Xenopus tropicalis: one gene and its partners. The main gene of each other region encodes a partner of the protein of the gene in region 2 in a complex. Links are inferred from orthologs where the notes say so. Each region holds a gene or a part of one and is shown on either strand. Other genes may lie near its edges.

Region 1 (4,195 bases), on a different chromosome or scaffold from region 2:
TTGGAGCAAGGTAGAATAGATTTTTTACTTTAGTACTTACTTTTTTTTTTACTTTTAGTGTTACTTTTCCTTTAATCATTTTTAGAAGCAATCAGATTAATCAGTGGTTTTCATCCAAACAGACCCCCCCCAAGGATAAATAAAATAAAAGTGATTGACTTCTGAGGATTAGAGTGTTTATTTATGTGTGTTGTGAGCATTACACAACAGCAGAGCTGCTAAGTTCTCTGGAAGCAATGCCACCAAGGGTTGTTGGCCAATCAGAGGCAAACAAAACTAACAGCATAAAGTGTGATTGCAAACAAAAGTTGTAAATGCCATCGCCACTGGACTTCAGAACAGTGGAAACACATTCTCTGGAGTGCTAAATGGCGGTTAAATACAGCTTGACACAGTTCCCCAGAAAGAAATTCAAAACTCTCAATACAACTGTATAACATTTTTACAGTTATATTTATTAAAGGGTGAGTTTTTATACAATGATAACTAATAACTAAAATGTTAACTAATCTCTAAAAATCCAAAAATAAATAAAAGAGCTGTGAAGGAGAAGATAAAAACACTGTAGTGAAGGAATACAGCACTGTACAGTCTGACTGGTAAATGTTAAAACATAACTTGTAGGAATAAAATACAAATCATACTCCCCCCCCCCCCCCCCCTTAAAAAAGATCCTTCAATCACATGGATAACTTTCTTTCACAGGCAACAGATATTAACCAAATAATGCAGCTAACTGTGCTGTCACTCAGCATCTGCCTTCATCATGACCTAGCAGGCTAATATTTCATACCAACACTGATGTAAGAACAGTCTTAAAAAAGCATAAAATATTTTGTAACTTAAAAAACAGCAACAGCCAAAAGCTTAGATACAGACAGAACACAAGTCAGCATAACAGAAATGCATATATGATGCACCATTTATCACTCGGAGCATGATCTAGCCATGTGGTAATGCACTAAGCACCTAGCTTATCTCTGCACCAGAAGAAATACCTTCAAAACAGCAGTTACGGCACCATAGATGAGGTAACAAGAAACACCATAATCAATAAACAATTTCCACACACTTAAAGGGGAATTAAACACCCCAAAAAGCAAAATACTGTACAACTGCTCAGAATACTCTTCTCAGCACTTTTACTATTTACACTGAACATTTTAAGATATAAGCACTTTGCAATAATAATATAATTTATTTGAAACCACACAGCTCCCTACTGTTCTGATCAGCTGGCCATCATAAAATGATGTTACTGAGTTACTCAGTAGGCAATATCATTGACCAAGGAAACCTCTCTGCTCAGTAACTACCTTAACAGAGCACTGCAGTTTTAAATTCATTATATCAGTGTACATTATAAAAGTGCTCAGAAGAGCATACTACCAATTTTACATTAATTTCTTTTGGGGTGTTTAGGTCCACTTTAACATTTATATTTTTATGTTCTAACTAAAAATGTAGGCAAATACCAAAATAGATATATAGTAATAACATACTTCATCACAAGATATTCGATTAATGGGCCCAGTCCTGTGATCTTCAATCACCCCAGACAGTAGACCTCGAACGCAAATACAGCAAGGCAGTGTATGTGCTTTGGGATGCCTGTGAAATAACACAGAATATACAGAATCTCGCCTTTTCTATGTTTTTTCTTTATTTCCAAACATGAAAATACTTAATCTTTGAGGTTCCATATGTAGAATCATTAGCACTCACACAACATTGGCCAAATTTGCCTTTGGGCAGTTACCCATAGCAACCAATCCATGATTGGCTTTTTCAGCTAACTGCATTTAGAACAATGAATGCAACAACTTGATTGGTTGCCATGAGTTACTATTCAAGAGCAAAGTTGCCCAGTGTTGATAAATGACCCCCACCGTTCTCAGAAAACATATGAACAAATATTCCAAGGGGCCTCAACCTACACAGCACCCTTACTTGATGGAATGATGTCACAATTTTTGCTCTTCTACCCCTCTCTCTAAACTAAGGCTCCCTGTAATGATCACCAACTAAACTGGTAAAAGAAATGATCCCCTTTTTATATAGAATAATTTACCACTAGAGCATTTCCTAGTTATTTTCTCTTAAATTTGCAAATGTATTTGAGTCGTGCATTAGCCTTTACTTTCTTCATCCTAAGTTCAAGCTGAATATGCTCCATACTCTGTTTAAAAGCGGCATCACCATAACCCTCTGTCTCCTGGTTGTGACTTTAGATCAACATGTTTCCTGTAGAGCTCCATTTTCTTATTTACACTGCTATTTGGTTAGTAGGGGTGTTGACCAAAGTAACCAGTCAGTGGTTCCAGTCACTGGCTTGAAGATAAATAGGAGAAGGCCTGAATCTATATTAATATGTATGAAAAAGACCCACTCCTGCCAAACCATTTTTAACTATGCCTTGAACCAGCTAGAGAAATCACACATGTGGGGGGTCCCCACCACTTATGTCCCCAAAGGGGGGGGCAGCTGCTGGAGGAATGCTTAGAGGCAGGTGTAGGGGATAAGGCGGCAGGCCCATACATACAGGCATCTGGACCTTCTACCTGCCTGAACCTTTTTTAATCCAAACCCACCTGACCTGCAGGTCTTCGATACACTGCTATAAATATATCTTACCTTTTCAGCTATACTGTACAAAACTTCATCCATCTTCATACAAGTTGGATCCCAGTCATGGCCAAAACGTATAACTAAAACTCTGTCTTCCTCAGACAAGATTGCCTGGTCGACCTGCCAGCCATTGTGCAAATGAGGAAGCATGTACGACATTTTGGCAGCTTTGCTTTAAAGCTAAAAGGACAAGAAAAGAAGTATTGCAAGAAATGAAACACTTTTCTCAAATGCGTGAAGATACAAACATACTCCCATCTACACTGACAGGCTAACATGCTAATACTTTCAATTAAAAATTATCTGGGCAAATTTTAAATATTTTTAATGGTTAAAGAGTCCGAAGTATCCCCCAAGATTATAGTTTACAGATGAGGATACAAATTGTAGCGTAATGCTGCTCGTAACAATCCGACATGAATCTGGGAAATGTGGGGCTGCAGTAGAGGCAGGGGGATTGCCTGAAGGCCACTTTGGGTGAGTATTGGTGCAAATTCATGTGAATCAATAGCAAGCTCCTGAGTTATACCAACAAGCTGCCCCAAAGCCTTATATATATATATATATATAGGCTACATACCACCCAACTGTGCTGATTTAACTAATACAGTCCGCAGTCCCGTACGGTTGTTTAAAAGTCTTGCGGTGCTGTTGCCGTGTAGCCCCTCGCTTCCTGCCGTACAGCGAGCCAACGCACCGCAAGTCTCATCTCGCGAGAAGGTGACGTCACATCAATACTATAAACGTGGTTACGCAGCACGTAGCTGCCTTGAGGCCAATGTCAAAGGAAGATGGAACTTGAGTTGAACATGTGCTGTTTCTTTTCTTTATATGCACAGCCCAGTAGCTGCAGCTAGAGCCTATGCCCCAACAGAACCTTTAAATTAACTAGATTAGACTAGACTATTTAAATTTAAATAGATTTAGCTTATGCCAGGCACAGGGAACAGAGAAATAAGGCTTTTAAGTTCCTGGTTGTGGTCATACCCCCCCAACTGTCCCGCTTTTTACGGCGCATCCCGCTGTCCCGGATAGTTCCATGAATGTCCCGCATTGCGGGACATTCATGGAACTATCCGGCACAGCGGGATGCGCTTGCTGTAGCCAGATGTTCTTGCTTCTTCTGCGGCTTCGTTATGCCTCTCCTTGTGCAGCGCGACAGGCCCTTTTATAAGGTTGCGCCTGTGGGTGTGACGTCATTACGCACGGAGCGCAACCTTATAAAAGGGCCTGTCGCGCTGCACAAGGAGAGGCATAACAAAGCCGCAGACGAAGGCTGCGCCTATGGGAGGTACTGTGTATTGGGGGGGGTACTGTGTATTGGGGCACTGTGTATGGGAGACTATTGTGTATGGGGGCACTGTGTATGGGGGGGCAAAACTGGTACTTAGTTATAACTCACTTATAACTGACTGCCTTCTCTCTATATTTGTATTTTAATGTAGGAGTTGCTATATTGTTTTCCTTAGGTCGTTCAGTATGAGGGTATAGCACATTTTCATCTGCGCCCGCCATTTGATCTATATAAAAGGGGTATTTTTTTAAAAATGGGGTGCAGTAATTGGGG
Region 2 (3,500 bases):
GCTTTTTTAGGTTTTAGTTATAATTTACTTTAACACAGGTCTAGAACCCTATGACCATAAGATGCACCTTCATCTAAACCATCTAGCTTAGTGTGTCAAACCATGGTGTGAAATTACCTCCATATTGGGTAGCCTCAGTTTGACTGTTAACTGAATTTTTATAATTAAAAAAACAGTGATGAATACATGTTTTACTCTGAGGCTACACTTACTATTTTATTACTATTAACAAAAGATATAGCAATTGTGCCCGTCACCTTGATCCAAAGTCAGTTTCTCTGGTATCATGATTAATGTTTAGAAGGTCATCAGCCCGAACAACCTTCTCTCTCTTACGAATCTTTTTCACTCGTCGCTTTGTTTTTTTAAAGGAGACCTGTGAACAAAAGAAACATATAAGGGAGTTTAAGTAACTTAAGTCACTGAATAATCAGAGAATAAAAATGCCCACTTAAATAAACATTTATAATTTTTTTCATAAAGACGCTTAAGTCATAACTAACATATCGATCCATCTAGCTCTTCTAAGACAAACATACCATCTCCTCGGGAGTGTAGTACTCCGAAGCAAGTTTAGATTGTGGAAGTTCCAGAGTATGAGCTTGGCTGTGCAAAGATTCCCGAATATTCTGTAGTTCCTTCTCCCAGGACCCATCAGCAACTCCTCCAGACTCCAGTTGAAATGACTTTTTCTTCTCTCCCTCTATCTCCTCATCATACTTGGAAAGAACTGATTTGGGGCGGAACTAGAGAAGAGACATTTAAGCCAAAAAAAAAGTTAATTGCACCAAAAGTCCTCATAAATCTAAAAAATAATTCTAGAAATCAAATACAAAAAGGTTTTGTCAATCATGACTATTCCACAGTTTTCTATAGCAAGAATAACACCACTGAGGGTAGATTTACTTCATTATATTTATTTAGTATCATTTTCCTGTTCTGGTTTTTCACATCCTGTCGCTAAAAATGCTGTCTGGTTGATAGGATTACTGATCCCAGCAAGAAATAACAGATGGACTGTGGGATTTTATGGTTTTTATTTTCTATTACTTTAAATTCTAAGCAAAAACAATTAAAGGACACTAAAGTAAACAAGTGGGTAAAATAAAAATTCGATTTACAATTTATTTTCATTTACTCTACAATTATTTTGTCTTTACCATACTAAAAACTAATTTATGAAACAAACATATTTGCTGCAATGTTGTTCAGTACAGGCTAAGAACTACTAAGCCAAAGTGAAAAATATGTCTGATTAATTAAGCTTCTCTGTTCGCACAGACAACCTTATTCTCAAATCATTTAGTAGCAGATACTGGTTGTTCACTCAGGAAAGCTTCATGGGTTTTAAGAGTCAGATAAAAGTTAAATTATTTAAAAAACAAAATAAACACATCCTACAAGAGAAAGATTTGACTAGGGTCTGCACTAGTTATATCTAACTTATATGGACTTATTATTTCCTTATACCACAGTAAATCTAGACATCCACTGGCTACTTGTGCCTCATACTGTAAGCATGAACAGTTTCTATGTTGATGTCCATAAACCATAGTCTGTATCTTCATCAATGCTGCTAATAAAAATTCTGTTAAACATAAAAATTACTGTATGCAGTCTTAGTGCCCTTTAGAATCAGGCTTGTAAGATAATGCACTTACAACTGCCATGTCCTCCACATTTTCCTCCTCTTCATATGGTTTGTATTCAGGCTTTTTCTTCTTCAACTCCACATTTTTCTCAGCCTTCTCTTTATCCACTAAGTTTACATTAACTAGAACATCTGCGTCATCTTCATCTAAGACACCTGTAAAAGAAATATTTTTATATACTGCTGGGCATTTAGAATAAAACAAACCAATATACATCTGTATGAAAAGTGATAGTAGGTTGGGTGGACTGTCAATTAGGCATTAATGGCTGTGTACCAGGCAACAATGATCTCAACAGGGTCTCCCAGCTGTTTATCAGCAAATAGCAATCCAGCATATTCAGTCCACATAAGGGTCCCCAAGACCCTGTCAAATTTCCCTTGCCCCCCGGTCTTATGTTAGTTTAAGAGTATCGTACACCAGCTGCCTCCAAAAAGTGAGTGAGCCTGAAAAATCATCCAGATATCCATCAGAAAGCTTTGAAAATCCCAATACACACCACCCTGGCACACTGATGTGGTTCTTGTCCGGTGGCCCAAAGTCCTAGTATTTCCCATTTGCTGGCAGATTTGATGAAACTGATATCCGTGCTACTAAGCATGGGACGGTAAGGAGCAGACTGGAGTTTCCTGTGTCTGATAAAATGCCACATGTGCATTGGCCTTACTAAACTAATTACAGGAGAGGTATTGAGCATGAAAGCAAAACTATACTCCATTACTGCTTTTTCATTAAGAACAAGATTTGGAAAAACAAACGCACCTTTGTCCTTTAAAGTGAGAATGACAGTCTGTCCTTCTTTGAAAGCATTAATTTTGTGTTCCACAGTGAGTCCCTGAAGATCACGGGAACTGTAATGCTGTAATACACAAAAATTAACATGTAGCACGTATGAAAATAAAAGCTACACAAAAAGTTCAACAAAAAAGTGCAGACAAAAACATAAATTGATTTTACATCACCTACCTTCTTTTGACCAAATTCTTCTTCCACAAGATTAGAAACGCCAAACTCTTCGTCCATTTCAGCAAGAAGTTTTGCCTGAGACGAAAAAAAATGTAACTGAAAAGCACAGTATTTCAAATATTAAGAATGGCAATCAAACTTAAAATAATTAAACAATGTTAAACTGCAACGGAACTTTTTAGATTTAAAGTCAGTCAACTCATCATGATAAGAATATTAACAGTACTCACCCTCTTCTCAGCTATTTCCTTTTCCATCTGAAGCTTACGGCTTTTTTCAATCCAGGCAGCTGTGTCATCTAACCATAGCTCATCATCTCCCAGAGATTTGATTTTACTATAGAAATTACAAGTGAAGAGTATGAACTGCTCTGTATAATGTACTGTTACATTTCCCACAGTCCCCAAAATATGATTTACAGTTGCACTGATAGCTGGTTATGTACCCACACGCCCTGTAGCCAAATGAAAACCTGAACAGGAGCCTGAAGCAAACTTGGCAGTATGATCACTACAATGCATTCAGAGAGGCAGAAAAGCATTCCCAACATGTATTTTACCACAGCTAGCACATACCCATTCTTTTGAGGTTTTGACTTATTTTTATCACTTTAGGTCCGCACCACTCTCCTCTTACCCTAATTTCTGATTCAGCAATCTCTTCTCTTTTGCAGCAGCTAACTTCTCTCTAAGTTCTTGTTGCTGTTTTAGTGCAATAGGATTAATGACAGAAGCAGCTACAGGATCTTCTTTAGTGCCGCTCTCTGCACATGTTAAACAGAATAAATGTTTGCACATTTTCACAATAAAGAAAAAAAGCATTATATAAATAAAAAATGGTAAAGTAAGATACCGACATTTGTTAACTTTGTAAATTAGCGCT
Region 3 (4,289 bases), on a different chromosome or scaffold from region 2:
AAGAATACGACCCAAACGTAACCCTGATTTGCATATTTAAATTTAAGCAGCATCTGTGGGAAAATGTATTGCTTTGGAATGTGCAAACTTTGAAGTGAGGGAAAATACGTATTATAACATGGACATGAAACAGAGCCAGAATGAATTTGTAAAAATACATTTTTCATAATCCTCATTCCAAATGTTGATAAAAGATAGATATAAAAGGAATTCAGGTTGCCTTTTACTTTAAGCTTTACCTCGATAATCGACTCCAGAGTTGAGCTTTACAACCACTGGTCTTCCAATAATCTGCTTTAAGAAGTCACTCGGTGTTTGTTTGCGCAGGCTCATTCTAATTCCCTTTCACTGTAAAGAAAGGTTTCAAGACAAAATAATTCTCTTATTGTTATATAGTGCCAACATATTCCTCAGTGCTTTACAGATATTATATATTATTCACATTTTCAGACCAGCATTTTTATATCAGTTGCAGTTGGTCATTATTGTCAGTTTGATGATTTAACAGCACAGATTAGTGCATTAGAACTGGCAAATCTGCACTATGATATGGTATACAAATAGACTGCCGCTTTGGTCCAGAATTCACAGCAAACATTGTGGAGTATAAGTCCTATTTTAAAGAATATAAACTCTACAAACACTAAACTCTAAAAGAAGCAGGCTAGAAATGTTAAACTTTAGTTTTCTATTAAACTATTCCACCAAATTTAACCAACAGCAATGACAATCCATTCGCCTGCAGTTGGTTAGAAATATCTTCGTCTTAACTAGCCTTTAAAAGGAAAGCCAGGAAAGCACTATAAGAGATGTGTTCTAAAAAATCAGAAGACAAAGCAGTTAAAACAGGGTTAAATCACAGCTAACTGGAGGCTCTGTATTCCTCAGTGTCTACAGCAGAATAAGGAGTGGGCACTATTGATGTGCGGGCTGGCCCAATACCTGCAGGTCAGGCCGACCTTGGCACATCACCTGCGGGTCGCGGGTGGGCTTCGGGTTGAGTGCTTCCGGTCAGCCTCCATGACCGAGACCTAACAATGCTGATATTCCGATTCCAGCTTGGGAATTTATAGGTGCGCGCCCGACATGCCCCACCCCTTCGTGATGTCATTGCGGGGAGGGTCGGGAGTAGGTCTATAAATAAAGGGAAGAAGCTGGGTCGGGTAGGGTTGGGAGCAGGCGGGTTAAGATTGGGTATTTCTGTGTTGGTAAAAGTTTCATGTTTGCTTCAGTAAGACTATATAGTTTATATAAATAAGCTGTTGTGTAGCCATGGGGGCAGCCATTCAAGCTAGAAAAAAGGAGAAAAGGCACAGGTTACATAACAGATGCACGCTTTAGAATGGTACAATGGTAATCTACACAATTTATCTGTTATCTGCTATGTAACCTGTGTCTTTTCTTCTTATTTTCAATTTGTACAGCTACCCCCATGGTTACACAGCAGCTTTGTTTATATAAACTATATTCGGGTTTCTGAAGGAAACACACAATGTTTACCAGTGTAGGGCACTAGTACATTATATTTTAATTACTTTTATATGCTTTCATTTTTTGTGTTACTGTTCCGAGGATTTATGTACCGACTCCACAGTCCTCAAATTCCCTGATATATTATTGTATTTATCAAAGGTTTTTATTCAGTGTCTCTTATCATTTCTAAGAAATACTGTGCTTCCTCAGCCTAAACGTTTCCTACTACAGGTATAGGACCAGTTATCCAGAATGCTAGCGACCAAGGGTATTCCGGATAAGGGGTCTTTCTGTAACGTGGATCTTCATACCTTAAGTCTACTTAAAAAAACAATAAAACATTAATTAAACCCAATAGGATTGTTTTGTATCCAATAAGGATTAATTATATCTTAGTTGGGATCAAATACAAGGTACTGTTTTATTATTACAGAGAAAAAGGGAATCAATTTAAAAAATCTGAATTATTTGATTAAAATGGAGTCTATGGGAGAGGGGCTTTCCGTAATTCGGAGCTTTCTGGATAATGGGTCTCCGGATAAAGGATCCCATACCTGTACAAACATATCCACCATGGTGTCTGTCAGCAGTCTGATACAAATGTGACTCATGCTGGTATCAGCCAATTAGAGCAGAGGAAATCTGTCAGTGACAGCCTCAAGCATGTTGGTTACTGCCAGAATAAAATATTAAGTGGAAAAGCTCACTGATAACATAGATATATTAGGGCTTACATACATTAGGGCTAGAGCCCAACACTGACACACTGTAGCTGGGCTTAAACTTACAAATGATTCTAAATCTATAAGTAAGAAGCTCCATCCCTCTGATGTAGCAGGGAGATCTATACAGCCCCTGTGAGAGGAGCTCTCATGTACTTGGCACTGAGCCCCTCTAGTACAGCCTGCTGGTAATCAGTATATTGCTCAGGAATTACAATACCCACCTGCCGGGAGCAATACAAATATGTATCAAGAAAAGGGTGCCTGTAGCAAATCTACTTCGAAACATTATAGCTGAACAATACATAATACAATCCCAATGTAATGCAGCGGCCACACACCTGGGATGAACTACAACTCCCAGAATTCGCTTCGCATAGACACCGCGGGAGCCACACATTTAGGTTAATTATTGTTGTTACCTACTTTTCTCTGAACGTAATGAGCACTAACCATACTAGATGGTGTGCATCAATGCAAATACTACAGGCGGCCATAAGCCACCCTGTAATTCTCACCCTGTATCCCGTGCGATGCCTTTTCTCCCGCCTCTCTCCTTCCTACCCCTTTTTACGGTGTCCGTCTCAGGACAATCCAAAAACAAGCGAAAGCCGTGTGCGCCGTACGGAAGTAAATCGGGTTCCTGAATGAGGCACCGCCTACCGGGGGTCAAAAGGGGACGATGACGTTAACACGGGAAATGATGCGTCCAATCAGGGCGAGAGGCGGCGCTGTGGCTCCTCTGCACCTCTTGTATGTAGTAATGGCTGGGATATCCTGTATGTTTCATGGCTTTGAATCCCTGCACCATGCCATTATAAGTCATTCTAGTAAAGAAACCTCGCCTCCAACTTTAAAAACGTGTTCTGATTCAGCATTACTCTTACTTGCTAAACGTAATACATTTCTTTGAGTTGACGCAAATGTATACGTATTTTTATTTTACATATATTTATTTTTGTATCTATTTTATACAGGCACATGCACTTTACTTATGGTAAGCTACTTTGATTTTCTGAAACTTCCCATATAATCCTTTCTGATTGAAGGGTCAGTTTACTTTAATCAGCCACACAAAATGTCACTAGCATCAAAAATGATTACTAATACTGATAAGCTGTGTGTGGCATGACATTATTCAATTGGAGCCTGGTATTATTCATCTGAAATCTTTACTGATTCATTACCTGCTGTACACCATGTATTTGCAAATATCCTTATTAAAGTGGTGAATGTCATGGCACCTAATGGTCCCTGTACACGGGCCAATTCTAGCAGCTAATCAGCCCGTGTATGGGCACTACCGATGGGCCTGCCCGACCAATATCTGGCCTGAAATTGGGCCAGATATCGATCGGGCAGGTTAAAAAATCTAGTTGGATCGGGGACCGTATCAGCTCGTTGATGCGGTCCCTGGAACGACTTCACCTATACCCGTCTTTATAATGCGATCGTTTGGCCCCAGGGAATTAGCCTGGATTCTCCCCATATCGCCCACACGTAGGTGGGGGATATTGGGAGAAGATCTGCTCGCTTGGCGACATCACCAAGCGAGCGGATCTGAAGGTGTGTGGGCACCTTAAGAAATATATGTGCAGTCACCAAGAGGCCAGTGACTGACACCAAATTGGAAATCCTGCAAATTGTTTATAAGCATGGTGTGGGGGAAGCTCACTCACTCCTCTAAATTGTCACTTTATACCTGTCTTTATTGCTGTTTAGGTCTTCTCTGCTTATAACTATAAACAATTATACAATATTTTTTTTTTTTTGTTTTCATTCATTTGGTAATTGCTGGGTAACTAGCTTTCACATCCAGAACTTGAATCTGCCCTGCAACTGCCATGAACCCACCCATGCAAACATAGGGGATGAGGAGACGCTCTGTGAGCGTAACTGTTTAAGATTCCTCGGAAGGAATTAAAATGTACAAAAATGAAAATAACTAATATGATATGCAAATAAATGAATTAATTAATTTAATAGCTAGCCAAATAAGCAAAGAATAAGCGAACTTGGCAGCTAAATAAATAATCTGCTCACCAACTTGTATTTAGAAATATGAAAGTAAGGTAAATACCAAGTAATCAATTT
Region 4 (3,539 bases), on a different chromosome or scaffold from region 2:
TATGTAATAAAAAAAAACTCTTAAAGGGATGTTTAGTTTTAATTGTGACTTGTTCAACTGTACTTTGTAAAATCAGCATATCTTCAGTTCAGATTCTTTGATTATCTTTTTTTATTAAATGGATCCTGAATGTAATCATGTACATGCTCCTCTAGTTCTGTCTCATCCAGGGGTGGAGGGGAATTACTTATAGAGAATGTAGTTTTGTTTTTTTTGTTTTTTTTTATCAGAGTAAGGCATTCAGTGGGCATATATGTAATGGTCAAAACATTTTACCCTCTAAAACGAAAACGGTGTTATTCTACCAGTAAGGACACGGTGCTAGTAACAGAGTGTTGAAACTGATACACTACATAAAAGTATTTTATCAGTGATTTGACATTGGATTGGGTTCTGTTTGGCAAGGGAATCATTATATATGTTCCAGTCAGTAAACTCTGGTATATTGAGCAATTAATTTGGAATTTTCTGCTTTCTTAGGAATGCATGCATCAGGCCATTTCGAAGCTTACTGCAGTGCACTTGCTATTTTTATACCAGTGACATGATAGCTTCATGTTACCTTCTACCACAGAGAAGTAGGCAGCTGTAATACGTACTAAGCTTAAATTTCAAGGAAAACTGTGTTTTTCATGTTTTAAATTGATATGTTGATAACAGAGTCCCTACATTTTCTTTCAGTCTGCTATTCTCTGCATCAACTGATAAAACTGTTGCTATTTGGGACTGTGAAACAGGCGAAAGAGTAAAGAGGTTAAAGGGACATACATCATTTGTAAATTCATGTTACCCGGCAAGGAGGGGACCGCAGTTAATATGCACAGGGAGTGATGATGGCACAGTAAAGGTTGGTAATATTTATGATCTGTTGATGTTTGGGTAATCCTTGTTAATTGGTTATAAATATATAATAATGGGGAAGAAAAGGAAATAAACAAGTAGGAAAGGTGAATAACTACCAGAATGCATAACTGTGCTAATTGTTATCTTATAGCTGTGGGACTTCAGGAAAAAGGCTGCAGTACAGACCTTCCAAAATACATACCAGGTACTATCTGTCACATTCAATGACACCAGTGACCAGATCATCTCAGGAGGCATTGACAATGACATCAAGGCAAGTAAACACAAAGGTGATTAGCACTTACTTGCTAAAGCAGTGCTGACCAGACCAAGCATATTTAGGAATTGCATGTAAAGAAGCAGCAAGTATTCTGGCATAGCCCTGTATACTGCAAACATTGTTTCATTTTTACGAAGTGATATGTTATAGGACCAGCCATGAAATGAGGCAGTTTTCAGATCTTATCTTTTGCCAATATCAGCTCTGTCATGTAAAGTTTGCTTCATGTTATTGAATTACAGCATGGTTCATAAAAGTGAAAAGGGTTGTTATAAAATGTCGTTTTTTGGGGGGTTTTTTTGTTTGTTTTTAGGTATGGGACCTGCGACAGAACAAGCTTATGTACACAATGAGAGGTCATGGTGACTCTGTGACAGGGCTTAGCCTTAGTTCTGAGGGCTCCTATCTTCTGTCCAATGCTATGGACAACACAGGTGAGTATTCTTATGCCCTTTTAAAATCACAAGACAAAACACACATGGAGGTGTTGCTGAATTGATTCAATAGCCAGTGAGTTTACTTCTTTGTTCTATTTTGCAGTACGTGTTTGGGATGTTCGTCCTTTTGCCCCAAAAGAGAGATGTGTGAAGATATTTCAAGGAAATGTGCACAATTTTGAAAAGGTCTGTATTTTGCAATATATCCAGATATATAACGTTTTTCTTTTCGATTCTTTGTATTGGGGAAAAATAGATGCCACTTCATATGGATTAGTTCCTTATCGCAATAGCTCACATTGAAGGACCTTGCACCTTCCCCTACCTAATTCAGATGATCATTACATATTTATTTTTCAATTAAAAAAAAAAAAAAAAAAAAAAAAGTAATGGTTTATATTCTTTCCTTAACAGAACCTGTTACGTTGCTCCTGGTCTGCTGATGGAAGCAAAATAGCTGCAGGATCAGCAGACAGGTATAACTGTTGTCTTTGGTTTAAATATTGCTTTGCCTCTGAGGTCTTTGTTTAATTTGCATAGAATGTTTATGTTTATGTTTTTTTTTTTTTTTTATTTTATTAAGATTTGTTTATGTTTGGGATACTACATCACGTCGAATTCTTTACAAACTTCCTGGTCATGCTGGGTCTGTAAATGAGGTAGCTTTTCACCCTGAGGAGCCAATTAGTAAGTCTCTCTTGTTAACTACTTTTCTCTTAATAAAACTTTCAAAGCAGAAAAGATGCCTTTTTTTTTAATAAGCTTTGTCATTTAACCGTTATTTAAATACACAATAAAACTTAATGCCATATGATAGTGTGTGAGGGGCAGGGGTCATTTTATCCAAAGCTTTATTTGTATAGGTGTGATATCCCATAGTTATAAATTCATTTAGTCTTAGACTAAGAAATCCTTGTTGTCTTATGGTCATTTTTGTGAAAATTATGACGTATTGATTTATAAATTCTTTGCTAGTGCAATGTTTATTTAAGGAAAATTGTTTTATCTGTATTAGCTTAATTTGCTCTGATTTAATTGTAACCACCTTTTCTGTTTCAGTTCTTTCTGCCGCTAGTGACAAAAGATTGTATATGGGGGAGATCCAGTGATTCACCCAGTGCACACAGATCATGGAAAGCCCAAGCTTTTGACAAGCCCCACTTATCTTTAAAAAATCCTTTGGTTCTCAGAGACTTACAACAGTGTGTATGCTAGTCTGCTCTGGTTTACTGGACTTTTTTTTTTTTAAGACATGGACTTCTGACATGCTTGTCTAAGACCTTCGGCATCCCTGTGCTAATATAAGCTCTTTCTGGGGCTTTGTTTCTGATTTTTTTTTTTTTTTTTTTTTTCTGCCCCACTACCCTGGGTATCAAAAACCTATAGACATCCCTTATCACACCAATTTATTCATTGTGGCTTGATATGAACTCTGTATATCCTGTGTGTTTATTTTATATGATAAACTGTTTTTTATTATAGTTTTGTTGTTTATTTAAATCTAGAAAGAATATTCAACATATTCCGATAGATGCTGTCTCCTGTGTTGAGATTGTGTGTTTTGGTTAATACAGATTTTTACCAATTTTTTTTATTTGTATATACAGGCACTGGGAGCATCAAGAGTAGACTATGGGTCTGGTTTTCAGTAAAGACCAGTGGTTATCTATAGGGATGCAACAAACCCACTTTTTTGGCTTTGGCCGAACCCACCCTGAGGGATTCTGCCAAAACCCGAACTGAATCCTAATTAGCATATGCTAATTAGGATCGGGAAGGGTTAAAAGTTGGTGCGTGTGGCGAAAAAATTTTCCCTAAAGAAATTTAACCCTTTCCGAATGCTAATTAGGATTCAGTTCGGCTGGGACCATGGATTTGGTATTAAGTTCCTTGGTAAACTTTCTACCATCTTTTTGTGTATGCTGCCAATATTTTAACTTCTTTATTATAATACCTTATAACTTAATGAGCTCAGTTGG
Region 5 (3,991 bases), on a different chromosome or scaffold from region 2:
CAATTATGAATAATATACGGTGCTGGTTTCCCTTTGGGCTAAACATTAATCCTATTTGTAAAAATGGCCCCTTTATTGGAGCTCCCTATAGATCCTCTCTCTTCTCTGACCATGTTTGAAATGAAGAGTGGGCGTGTCCTAACGGTCCCTGCAAGAAGCACAGTAGGAGGGGGAGAGCCAATCACAGACCTGCACTCACACAAGCAAAGACAGGCTTCAGTTCCCTATCAGGTCAGCCTAGCTGCTGATTGGTTCCTATCCTACAGTGCAGTGTATAGAGGGCCGCTGGCTCCCCAGCTCATCCAGAGAATTCAGCCAGCAGGAAGTGGAGCAGATGGGGGGGACTAGTGGGGTTTTGGGGGAATTTCTCAATAAATCTGTCTGAAATACAACTTTTTTAAGCACATTCCTTCTATATCTAGAGGAGTATAATTCACTGGCACATTCATAATTTTTATAGGATATGTCTCCTTTAACAGTAACTAGCCCAGGTATGGACAGCGTAACTCCTTTTAGCTATCTCGTAACCCTCATGCCTTGTACCTGGAGTTGGTAATTATTGGTCCTTAACATTACAATTGATGTTTGTTGTGCAAGAACTGATAGTTTGTGTTTGTGGGTCAGAATGCAGTTCCAGCCTCTGTAGTTACACCTGGAATCCAAAGTTGTTTAATAAACTGGTACAAGGGACATTTTCTCTGAGCAGAAGCTCAAAAAGGGCAGGAGGTGGGCAAGTGACAAACCAAAGGTTAGGGATTAAAAAAATACAAAAAAGGGATCCAAAGAACAAGGAGAGATAAATCTGATTCTTGTCTGACTGTCGCTAGTTTGGCCCTAGGTTAGAATTCTGCTGGCAGAAGAAACAATAAAATAAAAAAACATTTTAAGGTTGGACATTACAGATCTAATGTGGAGTGCCTAACCTTAATATAGTTCATTTTTATTCTACTGTTTCATAAACTAATCTATACTTTGTTACACTTAGTACCTGCTCCCAGTTTATAAAACCTGTATTTTTTTTAACGTATTTTAGTTGTTCAGGGATAAAATACGTTTAGGGGACTTCTCAAGAAAGTTACATGAAAAAAATGTTTTCTGTCCTCGCGAGATCATGATTGCGTCATCACCGTGGGACCCATTCATTCGGCCGGTGCCTGAAGCCGGCGCGCAAATTCCTGCTGCTTTAAATTCTCGCGAGATTTATGCAGAGGCGCTAGAGCGGTGAATGAGCGGAAGGCATTTGGTGTGTAGATCTGTCGTTGTCAGCGGCGTCTGTTTTGTTCTTCAGTTTCCAGATAGAGCTTGGGTGGTGCGACTGCAACAGAAGCAATGGTAACCGCTTAAGAACACTAGCGTTCCGTTACTGTTTCACGTTTTGTAGGGTAGAACCTAAGGAGTCGATAGCCATGTATTTTGTGGTGTACCAGCGTATACAGACCTGTTTGGCAATCAGTCCCCCCCCCCTATAGTCGCAAGGTCAGCTTTCTGAGTGGCCATGCCCTGCTTTGACGTTCCATGTTTTGCCTATACCAGGATTCTGGGATTTGTAGTCTTATAGCAGTGGGAGGGCTCGAATTTGGCCATCCCTGCTTTGCAACAACATTTCAATCATTTGTAACCTGATGTTAGTTGGACAGAACAACTTGTCTGTCTCTGTTATTGTTTGTGTCTTATGAGAGAACATGCTTTGCCTTGATCTGTAAAGGATCTTGGCAACATTTGTTATGTGATGTGCCTTGGGTAAGCTACAGGAGAGGCAACTGGTTTTTATAACTACTTGTTTTTATCATGTACAGCTATTCTACTCCTTCTTCAAGTCTCTTGTAGGAAAGGATGTGGTGGTAGAGCTGAAGAATGATCTGAGGTGAGTGTTTTGCCCCATGTTCTTTCTAGAATTGCTTCCCCCCCCCCCCCCCCACATGCTATACAGTCAGGCAAAAAGCTGCCACTGGTACATTTCAAGAACCTAATTTCTGTACTTTAAGGGATGTGACACACGGGGACATTAGTCGCCGCGCAACAAATCTTTCTTGTTGCGTGTCGACTAATCTCCCTGTGTGTCACAGCCCTTAAACCTAGTGCAGTGTGTGCAGTTGTGCTTTCTGCACTTGTGATGTGCCCAACACAAAAGAGGTAAGCACGGTGGGTGCAGCAGCACTTAGAGTCCCCCTGACCATTGTCAAACTTTAGAGGGCAGAGTGTATTGTGTAGACAGAATTTATAAAAACATTTTCTTGTGCTCCTGTAGACTTCACACCCTTAAATAACCACTTCTTTACCATTTAGCCATCTTTCATCCATTTAGCCTTTTGTTGCACTATTACATAAATGGTCTTATCTCTTGCAGTATCTGTGGTACTCTACACTCAGTTGATCAGGTAAGTAACTGAGCAAATATATAAATGTAGTTTATTTTCTCAGCATAATTATCAGCTCAGCCATGTTGTCACTTAAGCCTTGCAACTGAAATTGGCATAAAATCTTTCAGTGCCAGGGAAAAATGTTGGGTTGGCAAAAAAAAAATGAAAAAGTGAAAATTTTCTTTTAAATGACTTTACCATTACTGAAATTTCCACAACGCTAGGTTAAATTAAACCCTAGCAATCAGATAGCGCCTACAATTCCAAAATGGAGAGCTGCAATAAAAAAAGCTAAATTTAATTAAAGACTGCGATAATGAAGACTAGTTGCAAATTGTCTCCAATTATCACTGTCCACATCATACTAAAAGTTCATTCAAAGGTGAACAACCCCTGAAGGGACAGAGCCTTTAATAAAATGTACGCATCCTGCAGAGTATAATGTCAAACCAGGGAATATTTATTAACATAATTACTACAAGATTCTCCAAAGAGAATATTGCTCATATTTTTTTTTTTTTATACCCTAGAGGGCTTGTTTGCATAGAGGAATATCTCTGCTCTACCTGTTATCGTAGTACCTTTTCAGGTGTCTGGTGCTAAACAGTCTGTAGACCCACCTGCCCAGGGTCAAAGATGCTGTAGCACACTGATCCGTTATTGTGGTTGCATTAAGTTGCACCGACTCTTGCAATGTTTTGGGTCACTCTCAGACTGGCTGAAATGTTCCCAGTAGATGTCTGCTAATTAAGCCAATAAATCACTTTATTTAATGTGTGATCAGTGTGCTACATCATCTTTTGCATTCTGCATAGAGGAATATGTCTTGGAATAGAACTTTTGGGGGGAACTTGTGTTTTTCATTATCTCAAACAAGATTTCACTTTTTTTTTTTTTTATAGTATTTGAACATTAAGCTGACTGATATCAGTGTAACAGACCCAGAAAAATATCCACACATGGTAAGCTTTTTTTTTTTTCTTTGTATTTTTTATCTGCACCAGTAAACTAGATACTTAGCTTTTAATCCTGCTTTGAAACACTTGTTAATGTAATTATTTAAAAAATTTTTTTTTTAGTTGTCTGTAAAGAATTGTTTCATTCGGGGATCTGTGGTCCGCTATGTACAGCTCCCTGCTGATGAAGTAGACACTCAGCTTCTCCAGGACGCTGCACGGAAAGAAGCTGTACAGCAAAAGCAGTGATGTACAAGAGCTAGAAGGATGGAAGCAGGTTCACAAGCAGCACTAGGTGTTGTCAACTGCCTATATTTCTATAAGGCCAAATATAGGAGTGAGCAGCAACTTGTTACCTGTTATACAGGTTTTGCATTACATTTCTGTAAGAGACCCACACTTTTTTTTCTCATCCTAGTTCTGGAAACTTTTTTAAGTGCAGTGACTTGTGTGTTCACTTTAGAATCCAAGCAATGCATTTTGCTCTGCAAAGAAGTGGTCTCAGATAAGCAGAGTTAATTGGGAAAGACTGCCCTAACTTTTTTTTTTTTTTACTTAAATAAATTTTGTGTTAAGTCATCAGCTCATGTTTTTTTTTTTTTTTAGTGAAGCTAGTTCCTTCTGTTTGTATCTGCCTTTCTTAATTTTGTCGTAATATGATTTTTACTGGTTTAA
Region 6 (4,182 bases), on a different chromosome or scaffold from region 2:
GTAGAATTGCTATTGTTTCTACCTCTATATCCGATGATTCAGCCCTGAACGTCAATGGAGGGTATAAATAAACTCAGAACTAATTTGCAAATGCAATCTGCAGTAAATATTCTACTACCCTTAAAGCAGATGTCAGTATTACAGCACAGGTGCTAAAAATATCTGCGGTGCACTATTTAATATTTTAAAACAGTTATTGTCTTTCCTGTCAGGAAAGCTGCCATATTGCTTATTACGTTTAATTTCAATGTACTATTTTGAGTATTAGTTGATCTACAGAAAAAGTATTGTTGCTATTATATTCATAATCCCCCACCAAGCAGCCAATGGACAGTTTAGCTTCTTGCAGAATTTGCTACACAATGAATGAAAACAGAGAAGCACTGAAGCCAGTTTCTTAGAACTTAACTATGAGGATTTGTGGAAACAATTGTGCTTCAACATTTATTCCAGTCTACTCCCATTACTTAGATCAAACCCCCGATCGGGGCAAAAGAAGTACAGATACAAACCTAAATTCGCCAGTACAGAATTGCCTGAAATGAGAAATAAAGAATTATTTACAATTAGCAGATACTTTACCTAACGTAATCTGTTTGCACAACAATGCATTCCTGCATAGCACATAATGCATTAGTCTACAACAACTTCTTTTTGATATCAGAAATAGCCCCTTAGACTGATGCCACATGGGTTGATTCTGGCATCAGCTTTAAGCATCAGAAATGGGAAATTCATGAATTTACTTTATCCTCCATTTACTTTTACTTCTAAACACTAAAACTAAATCTCCTTCAGTGCAGGTGACAAATGCCCAAAGTTTCCTTACAACCAGCATTGATGTAAATTGCTGGTGAGAATATTAATGCCTGTGGGAAGGGACCTTTGGATGGTTTGAAAAAAAGAAACAAGGGGTGTAAAGTAGTGCTGTCAAATTCTTTTAGATGCAGAGGGCTGTATATTAAAGAACTTAGTTGTGATGAGAGAAACAAAACAGAAAGGAACTCTATGTGGATAATATATTATTAGTATAATTGTAAAGCTTTAAGCTATTTAAAAACTGTTTGCTAGATATAATACAGGTATAGGAACCATTATTTAGAAGTCCATTATCCAGAAAAATCAGAATTACAGGGAAAGCCATCTTCTATAAACTCCATTATAATCAAGTAAATCAAATGATATAAAGTGATTTCCCTTTTCTCTGTAATAATAAAACAGCACCTTGCACTTGATTCTAACTAAGATATAATTAATCCCTATTGAAGGCAAAACAATCCTATCAGTACTGTCTATTTTGTAGGCTCGACAGATAGCTGGCACATGGGGAGATGAGTCGCCCGCGGCAAAACTCCCTGTTCGCGGGCGACTAATCTCCCCGAGTTGCCTTCCCCTGCCATCCCATCGGCGACAATGTAAGCCGGCGGTGGGATGGCAGACGCGGCGAGGCGATTTCGGCAAATCGCCGAAAAAGACTCGCAAGTCTTTTTCAGCGATTTGCGCGAAATCGCGCCGCCGCATCTGCCATCCCGCCGGCGACTTACATGTTCGCCGGTGGGATGGCAGGGGAAGGCAACTCGGGGAGATTAGTCGCCCGCGAACAGGGAGTTTTGCCGCGGGCGACTAATCTCCCCGTGTGCCAGAGCCCTTAGTCTTACTGATCTAGTGAGACTAAAATAATGACAGCAAACATCTGATTGGTTGCTTTGGGTTATGGGCAGTTGCAAACTTTGTCAGTGTTGCTATATAACTACTCCAGAGTTTTGACAGCAAAAGTCATGCAACTTCACCTGAAGTTCTCTGCAGTTTTTGGTACAATATCTGCAAAAAGTTCCACCTTCATCCGGCCCACCTCCTGAAAAAGTAAATGGACATTAAATTAGTTTTTTTTGTGAAAAGACAATTAGCACATTGGTATTACAGTCATCATACCCTTCATGTTTTCCCAGAATATATGCCTTTCTTCACAGTTACACACAAGCAAACTAATTTGAAGTTGAATAGCATAAAATATAGCAATTACAAAACTTTAAAAGCTTACAAAATTAGGCCACCCAATGTTTTTAATATTCTGTATAACTTTAATTTAAATAAATGCAGAATAAATAGGTATAGCAACAGTTTGCTTGAAAGAACAACTTTTTCAAAGACACGGAATGGACAAATTAGCCCTCATGTTGACACATTTTCCAAAATGTCTAGTTTCCATGTTGACTTTTTTCCATACATTCTAAGGATAATATTCAGAGCTTTCCAAGATGATCTTTTTTCCCCTAATTGGTTTGATCAGCCGTCTGGTGGCTTTACAAGTTTTGTTTTGGGCTCTCTTTTGGGGTTCACGCCCAGTCTTCCTTGGGGGCAGGGTTCATGAATTGGGATGCCATGAGAATTTTAGAGTTCATATTTAGGGATTTTCTCAGGGCTTAGAGTGCATGTTTAGGACCATCAGTAAAGTTTTAGGGTTTAGAGATCGGAAAGAACAGTGGGGCCCATACACGTGGAATACAATTTAAATACATAATAATTTCTGCTATGAATATAAAAATCTGTCCTTCAGTCACAGTACACACTTAGCCTTCTTGCTAATACTACACTACACCATGCAGCCCCATTTGCTCAGCTGCAGTTTGTAGGTGGTGTTGCATGGCGAGATTCTTCTCAGTACGTAAGTATGGAATCATCATTTAATGCAGGGCTTTCTCAATGTATTATACTTAACACCGCGTGTTACCTGCCCCCCGATACTGATATCGAAGAATACGATGGGATTGTTAGCGTTGGAAGCCGGTACCGCCATTTCTATCTGGGGCAAAACCGGAAGAGAAGAGGCGGCGCTTCAATCCCAGAAGCGGCTTGCTTGTAGGCTGTATGCGCAGGCGCAGTGCATTGTTTTACACGCTTTATTCGCATGAAGTTGGTGGGCGATGCGATATGCCTGCGCTTCTAACCTTGCAGGGGATTATGGGAGAGTGGCAATAGCAGTACGTTTACGCGTGACTAAACCTGATTTACTCATTGACATATAAGCAGTACAGAGGTTTAGTTTTGGATGGAGTGGAGTTGTAGCATTCACATGTTCCGTGCAATTAAATTTATTTCTGTTGAAGCTATCCATATCTGTAAATATCCATGCTGTCTGCCTTGCTCTCACATCAAGCAGTGCTAATACAAGCGCCTCAGCGCTCCACACCGGAAACGTCTTTTTTTTTAGTTCCTATTTCAATGTGGCCTGATCACAGCCGTGATGCTGTGTGGGCGAGAGTGCGTTTATAACAGAGCTCTGCTTCTGTGTGGGTGTATGTGTGTATTTATGCAGTAGGTAGAATTATGGTTACCTGTGGCTGCTGCACATAGGGAACACACCAAATCCCCTCTGTATTCTGTGAGGAGAAGGGAGGTTTTATTGTTTGTATATCACTTCCCATAAAATCTCCCTCTCCACTGGCAGCTTTGTTGCTGTTTGGCCTTCAAAACTATTCCATAAATTCAAAGTACAGGGAAATCAGGTTTCCCAAGAAACTGATATGGGTATGAAACCTGGGCCCTAACAAATAAATTGACTGGGGAATAAAGTATATCTAAAACCTAAAAAGTTAATATAAATTTGTCAGTGTCCTCTTCTAGTCACATTTGCATTTTACATCAATTATTTTTTAAAGCTTTTAATCTGCTTATAAACAGCGCCGCCTACTGGTCAGCTCTTACAACCATACAGCTGAGTGAGTATACATTGAGAAGGAAAACAGATAACTGTTCTGATGTTAAGGTCCCCATACACAAGGCGATTTCACTCGTTGTGCGACGAACTATTATATCGACAAACGATCGTATGGCGACCGGGTTTCCATACGATATGCCATCCACAGGCAACGATAATTTGCAATTTTTACAATCGTACATCTACGTACGATCCAATGTCGTGGCGGAAGCGGTATTTATTTATTTATGTTCGTTGACTTCCGCTGCTGGCAATCATGACATGCGCAGAGAACAATCGTTCGAAGACAAATGTCTGACACTCACACCAACTGGCAGATTTTATCATTAAACGACTAAAATTTTTAAACCTGGCCGATCGATTTTGGGGACAATAATGTCGGGTCGATTAGTGGGCCGACGATCGTTCGCACACCATCAACTATACGATAACTTAACGATAGTATCGGATCGTTCGGGAATCGG
Region 7 (4,048 bases), about 94 Mb from region 2:
ATGTTCCACCAGAGCCCAAAGCATTGGTAGTTAATCATTTAGCACAGAAATAAAAGCCCATGCACAATTCAAGGGCTAACTCTGCCTATCTTTTAATATTGTCCAGATGGCATAATACTAACACAATCTGCAACTGGTCTTTATTTTTTATTTCATCTGGTCTCTGAATTATGTTGTCAAGGTTTGTATTTAATTTATCTGGTTTCTAGGGGTTACCTTAGCAATCATAGAAGAATCTTAAAACCAGTATAGTGAATAGTACAGGGCTGATGCCCATAGGGTTCAATCTGCACTCACTACAGTATTATTCCCAGCCTATTTAGAAACTCTGCACAGTGTCCCCATACAGTACCTATAAGAATTAAGTCTATTTAAGTCTGTGAATTAAGTCTGTGTTTAGATTTCATTTTACGTGTTACTGTATATCATTCACAAGATGAATGAAAATCTCTATAGACATGCAGACCCCATAGAAACTCACCACCATGCAGGGAGTCTATTGCCGGGCGGTTTCTCTGCTTGTTCCCCGCTACCGCAGCACCCTCAGACCCCCTCCGCTTTGCCATCTCCCCACAATTCTACCTCACATGTCCCCTCTGGTTGTATAACCCACACAACAGGAAACAATCTGTCTCAGACAATAACATTAACGCGTCACTTCCGGAACATACACATGTGCACCCCGCTGCCAGGCCTCCGCCACTTACTGCCCATACTCTCACATTATTGGCTGAGCTTCACATTCCGGCCTCCGACACTTACTGCCCATACTCTCACATTATTGGCTGAGCTTCACATTCCGGCCTCCGTCACTTACTGCCCATACTCTTACGCTATTGGCCGAGCTTCACATCCAGGCCTCCGCCTCTTACTGCCCATACTCTCACACTATTGGCTGAGCTACACATTCCGGCCTCCGTCACTTACTGCCCATACTCTCACGCTATTGGCCAAGCGTCACATCCAGGCCTCCGCCACTTACTGCCCATACTCTTACGCTATTGGCCGAGCTTCACATCCAGGCCTCCGCCTCTTACTGCCCATACTCTCACACTATTGGCTGAGCTACACATTCCGGCCTCCGTCACTTACTGCCCATACTCTCACGCTATTGGCCAAGCGTCACATCCAGGCCTCCGCCACTTACTGCCCATACTCTCACGCTATTGGCCGAGCTTCACATTCTTCCTGTGGCACATAAATATCGCGATAGGAGAATTGTCAGGGTTCTCGGCTATTTCCTTTGCGCGGGGTTTTGAAGATGGCGGACGACGGAGAGCAGGTAGGGATGTGGGTTTATAAGACTGGAAAACAGGTTCTGTTCGGTTCTCGGCGCAGTGCGGCATAAGGGGTGCTCCTGGCCCGGTCTCGCTTGGGAACGCGTATAGGGTTTTTTTATGTTGCGGGGAATTAAGTGAATGTTTATTCAAACTGGACTGTTTTCTCTTTTATTTCAAAGCCTTTTTTTTTTTTTAATCGTGAAGCACCGGTGGAGTGTGTTTATATTCATAACTAGCGATGTAAATCTGATTAAAAACCCAGTTGTTGTGGTCAGGAGTAAAATGAAATGTATGTTCTGTGTGGCTGATGGCGTCAATATATTCAAACAATAGAAGCACAAGGCTTGTTTTAGTTTCTATACCTCAGATTTCTGAGTTTATCTCCCAATTGACTCTTGACTCCTGTTTTTTAGGGACACATCCTATAAAATTTAAGAATATACTAGTGAATTATACTCCTAGATATAGGATTGTGCTTAAAAAAAAAAAAAGTTGTTTCGGACTGATTTGAGAATCCCCCCAAACCCCACTAGCCCCGCCCATCTGTTCCACTTCCTGCTGGCTGAATTCTCTGGATGTGCAGGGGAGCCGGGGCACTCTAAGATAGGAACCAATCAGCAGCTAGGCTGACCTGATAGGGAACTGAAGCCTGTCTGTGCTTTTGTGAGTGCAGGGCTGTGATTGGCTCTCCCCCTCCTACTGTTCTTCTAGCAGGGACCGTTAGGACACGCCCACCCCTCATTTGAAACACAGACAGGGACCTGAGAGGATCTATAGGGAGCTCCAATAAAGGGGCCATTGTTACAGATAGGGTTAATGTTTAGCCCAAAATGAAACCAGCACCGGATATTATTCATAATTGCCTACAAAATGAGGGGTTTTCCCATTTATCCAACATGTCTCCTAATTTACTAATGTGTCAATCCATGTTGATTGGAAGAACACAACATACATTTCATCACTGCCAAAGCTCAGCAGTTTGAAAGCTGTATGGAGGTGGTGCATGTTTTTGGGAGCAAACTAAATAACTACTGGCTAGGCAGCTGGTTCACTACCCTATTGGCTGCCCAAGCGGGTCTAAATCTATAACCTAAGTCTGTCATTTTGGCTTTTTATTAAAGACACCACAAGCATTCCTTAAATCTAAAGTTCAAACAAGACAAAAAATGAAAACTGTAAGGTTTTAATAGCTCAGGTTACAAAACAAAAACTGTAGTACCGTGTTAGCCAGTGTCAAAAATAATAATAAAAAAACAACAAGACACAAATACAAGAGTATTGTACTTCACACTAGTGAAACTACACTCTGGGCTTTATTTATAATTAAAATACAAATAGTACAGTTACATTAAAGGTATAGTGCTAAGTGTCCTAGACAAGAGGAAGGAGGTCCCTGCCCCACAGACCTTACAATCCCATGCAGGGGAGAAAAGAAATGCTATTTGGTAACTGTAGATCAAATCTGACTGCTCAAAACAATAAAGGTGCCCATACACAAGCAGATTTTGTCATGTGAAACAACCAGTTTTAAGGTGGCCATACATGGGCTGATTCTAGCTGCCGATATCAGTCCCTTAGACCAATTCGGCAGCTTATTGGCCGTGTATGGGCATTAACGACAGGCCTGCCCAACTGACATCGGGCAGATCTCGATCAGGCAGGTTTAAAAATCAGTCTGATCGGGGACTGCATTGGCTCGTTAATGCAGTCCCCAAACAGACAGACGCCTATGGCCGTCGTCCTAATTCGGACATTTGACCCTGGGGCCAAACGACCGAATTAGCCTGATATTGCCCACCCATAGATGGGGATATTGGGAGAAGATCCGCTTGCTTGGTGACTTCGCAAAGCGAGTGGATCTTAGCGTGTAAGGCCACCTTTACAGTGAACCAATAAAATTTGCTTTATTATTAACTTATTGTTACATTCAGGGGGAAACGATTGTAAAATATACGATCATTTCAACTGCATTGTCCCAACATTTGATCAGATGGGCTTGACCGTTTTTGTCATTAAATCAGTCAGTGGATGAGAGGAACAGATCACAATCATTAGATTAACATTCCCTGCACAAGTCTTTATTTTGATGGGCTAGGTTAAGTGCAAAAGTAAACAATGGAACAGACGGGCATTGGCTAATATATGTTCTTGGAGCCAGCACAACAAAGATATGACAAGTCTTCTCATATATTGACAAATGATCAAGCAAGCTTGAGTTTAGTTGCCTGAGGACCTGCTGCCCTTCACACTTCCCCCCCCCCCCCCCCCCAAAGGTCCTGTGGATGCTGAGTTACTAAACTCATGCAAATACTCTGTACCCCTGCAAGCACTGACACTTGATTGTGTGGCTTAAAAGACTGCTATTGCTAAATATTTGCAACTTATTCACTGGAATATAGAATCAGAAGTGCCATTACTCGTTTAAAGGAAATGTAAACCTTCGAAAGACATGGGGGGGAAAAAAGTCAACTGCAAAAGTGCTCTGAATAGAGTGCTGGGCAGTTTTGAGACTGTTTTCTTGGGTTTACATTTCCTTGAAAGTACTTTTTATAATATCATAATTATAAGGAGGCTAATATATCACGGCACCATCTGCAAAAGAAAGGGGACCAGAATTTGTGGTAAAAGCAGATGATTATTACTTTGCAGCTAAGGGGTTAAACAATATACAGGCAACTCTTATGTATCCAGCAAAAACAGTTTTAAGATAGAGGCAGAAACACAGGACTAGGTTTAAACTGAAAACTATAAATTGAATCATACTAAAA

Evidence for each region.
Region 1: sart1 (region 2) and txnl4a share a complex: the UniProt entries of both Homo sapiens proteins name them as parts of the U4/U6-U5 tri-snRNP complex. The link is inferred for Xenopus tropicalis from reciprocal best matches to the Homo sapiens genes SART1 and TXNL4A.
Region 3: sart1 (region 2) and lsm6 share a complex: the UniProt entries of both Homo sapiens proteins name them as parts of the U4/U6-U5 tri-snRNP complex. The link is inferred for Xenopus tropicalis from reciprocal best matches to the Homo sapiens genes SART1 and LSM6.
Region 4: sart1 (region 2) and snrnp40 share a complex: the UniProt entries of both Homo sapiens proteins name them as parts of the U4/U6-U5 tri-snRNP complex. The link is inferred for Xenopus tropicalis from reciprocal best matches to the Homo sapiens genes SART1 and SNRNP40.
Region 5: sart1 (region 2) and lsm2 share a complex: the UniProt entries of both Homo sapiens proteins name them as parts of the U4/U6-U5 tri-snRNP complex. The link is inferred for Xenopus tropicalis from reciprocal best matches to the Homo sapiens genes SART1 and LSM2.
Region 6: sart1 (region 2) and ppih share a complex: the UniProt entries of both Homo sapiens proteins name them as parts of the U4/U6-U5 tri-snRNP complex. The link is inferred for Xenopus tropicalis from reciprocal best matches to the Homo sapiens genes SART1 and PPIH.
Region 7: sart1 (region 2) and lsm3 share a complex: the UniProt entries of both Homo sapiens proteins name them as parts of the U4/U6-U5 tri-snRNP complex. The link is inferred for Xenopus tropicalis from reciprocal best matches to the Homo sapiens genes SART1 and LSM3.

What each region holds. Positions count from the first base shown.
Region 1 is NC_030682.2:96,972,567-96,976,761, reverse strand, and holds the start of txnl4a (thioredoxin-like protein 4A), read right to left. Parts: upstream 2,801-4,195; 5' UTR 2,788-2,800; coding exon 2,635-2,787; intron 1-2,634. UniProt on the Homo sapiens protein: Plays a role in pre-mRNA splicing as component of the U5 snRNP and U4/U6-U5 tri-snRNP complexes that are involved in spliceosome assembly, and as component of the precatalytic spliceosome (spliceosome B complex).
Region 2 is NC_030680.2:38,869,655-38,873,154, reverse strand, and holds part of sart1 (U4/U6.U5 tri-snRNP-associated protein 1), read right to left. Parts: intron 3,382-3,500; coding exon 3,255-3,381; intron 2,955-3,254; coding exon 2,849-2,954; intron 2,694-2,848; coding exon 2,619-2,693; intron 2,512-2,618; coding exon 2,415-2,511; intron 1,808-2,414; coding exon 1,662-1,807; intron 747-1,661; coding exon 540-746; intron 377-539; coding exon 258-376; intron 1-257. UniProt on the Homo sapiens protein: Plays a role in mRNA splicing as a component of the U4/U6-U5 tri-snRNP, one of the building blocks of the spliceosome. May also bind to DNA.
Region 3 is NC_030677.2:58,334,625-58,338,913, forward strand, and holds the start of lsm6 (U6 snRNA-associated Sm-like protein LSm6), read right to left. Parts: upstream 2,801-4,289; 5' UTR 2,714-2,800; exon of another isoform or gene 2,537-2,713; intron 1,130-2,536; exon of another isoform or gene 943-1,129; intron 349-942; 5' UTR 334-348; coding exon 240-333; intron 1-239. UniProt on the Homo sapiens protein: Plays a role in pre-mRNA splicing as component of the U4/U6-U5 tri-snRNP complex that is involved in spliceosome assembly, and as component of the precatalytic spliceosome (spliceosome B complex).
Region 4 is NC_030678.2:79,154,275-79,157,813, forward strand, and holds the end of snrnp40 (U5 small nuclear ribonucleoprotein 40 kDa protein), read left to right. Parts: intron 1-681; coding exon 682-847; intron 848-994; coding exon 995-1,117; intron 1,118-1,436; coding exon 1,437-1,557; intron 1,558-1,663; coding exon 1,664-1,746; intron 1,747-1,974; coding exon 1,975-2,036; intron 2,037-2,143; coding exon 2,144-2,247; intron 2,248-2,619; coding exon 2,620-2,669; 3' UTR 2,670-3,039; downstream 3,040-3,539. UniProt on the Homo sapiens protein: Required for pre-mRNA splicing as component of the activated spliceosome. Component of the U5 small nuclear ribonucleoprotein (snRNP) complex and the U4/U6-U5 tri-snRNP complex, building blocks of the spliceosome.
Region 5 is NC_030684.2:75,103,095-75,107,085, reverse strand, and holds lsm2 (U6 snRNA-associated Sm-like protein LSm2), read left to right. Parts: upstream 1-1,191; 5' UTR 1,192-1,329; coding exon 1,330-1,332; intron 1,333-1,796; coding exon 1,797-1,864; intron 1,865-2,347; coding exon 2,348-2,378; intron 2,379-3,262; coding exon 3,263-3,322; intron 3,323-3,439; coding exon 3,440-3,565; 3' UTR 3,566-3,898; downstream 3,899-3,991. UniProt on the Homo sapiens protein: Plays a role in pre-mRNA splicing as component of the U4/U6-U5 tri-snRNP complex that is involved in spliceosome assembly, and as component of the precatalytic spliceosome (spliceosome B complex).
Region 6 is NC_030683.2:94,758,872-94,763,053, forward strand, and holds the start of ppih (peptidyl-prolyl cis-trans isomerase H), read right to left. Parts: upstream 2,801-4,182; 5' UTR 2,798-2,800; coding exon 2,732-2,797; intron 1,856-2,731; coding exon 1,791-1,855; intron 537-1,790; coding exon 513-536; intron 1-512. UniProt on the Homo sapiens protein: PPIase that catalyzes the cis-trans isomerization of proline imidic peptide bonds in oligopeptides and may therefore assist protein folding. Participates in pre-mRNA splicing.
Region 7 is NC_030680.2:132,918,360-132,922,407, reverse strand, and holds the start of lsm3 (U6 snRNA-associated Sm-like protein LSm3), read left to right. Parts: upstream 1-1,248; 5' UTR 1,249-1,261; coding exon 1,262-1,282; intron 1,283-4,048. Other genes in the region: xpc (DNA repair protein complementing XP-C cells), read right to left, coding at 482-566. UniProt on the Homo sapiens protein: Plays a role in pre-mRNA splicing as component of the U4/U6-U5 tri-snRNP complex that is involved in spliceosome assembly, and as component of the precatalytic spliceosome (spliceosome B complex).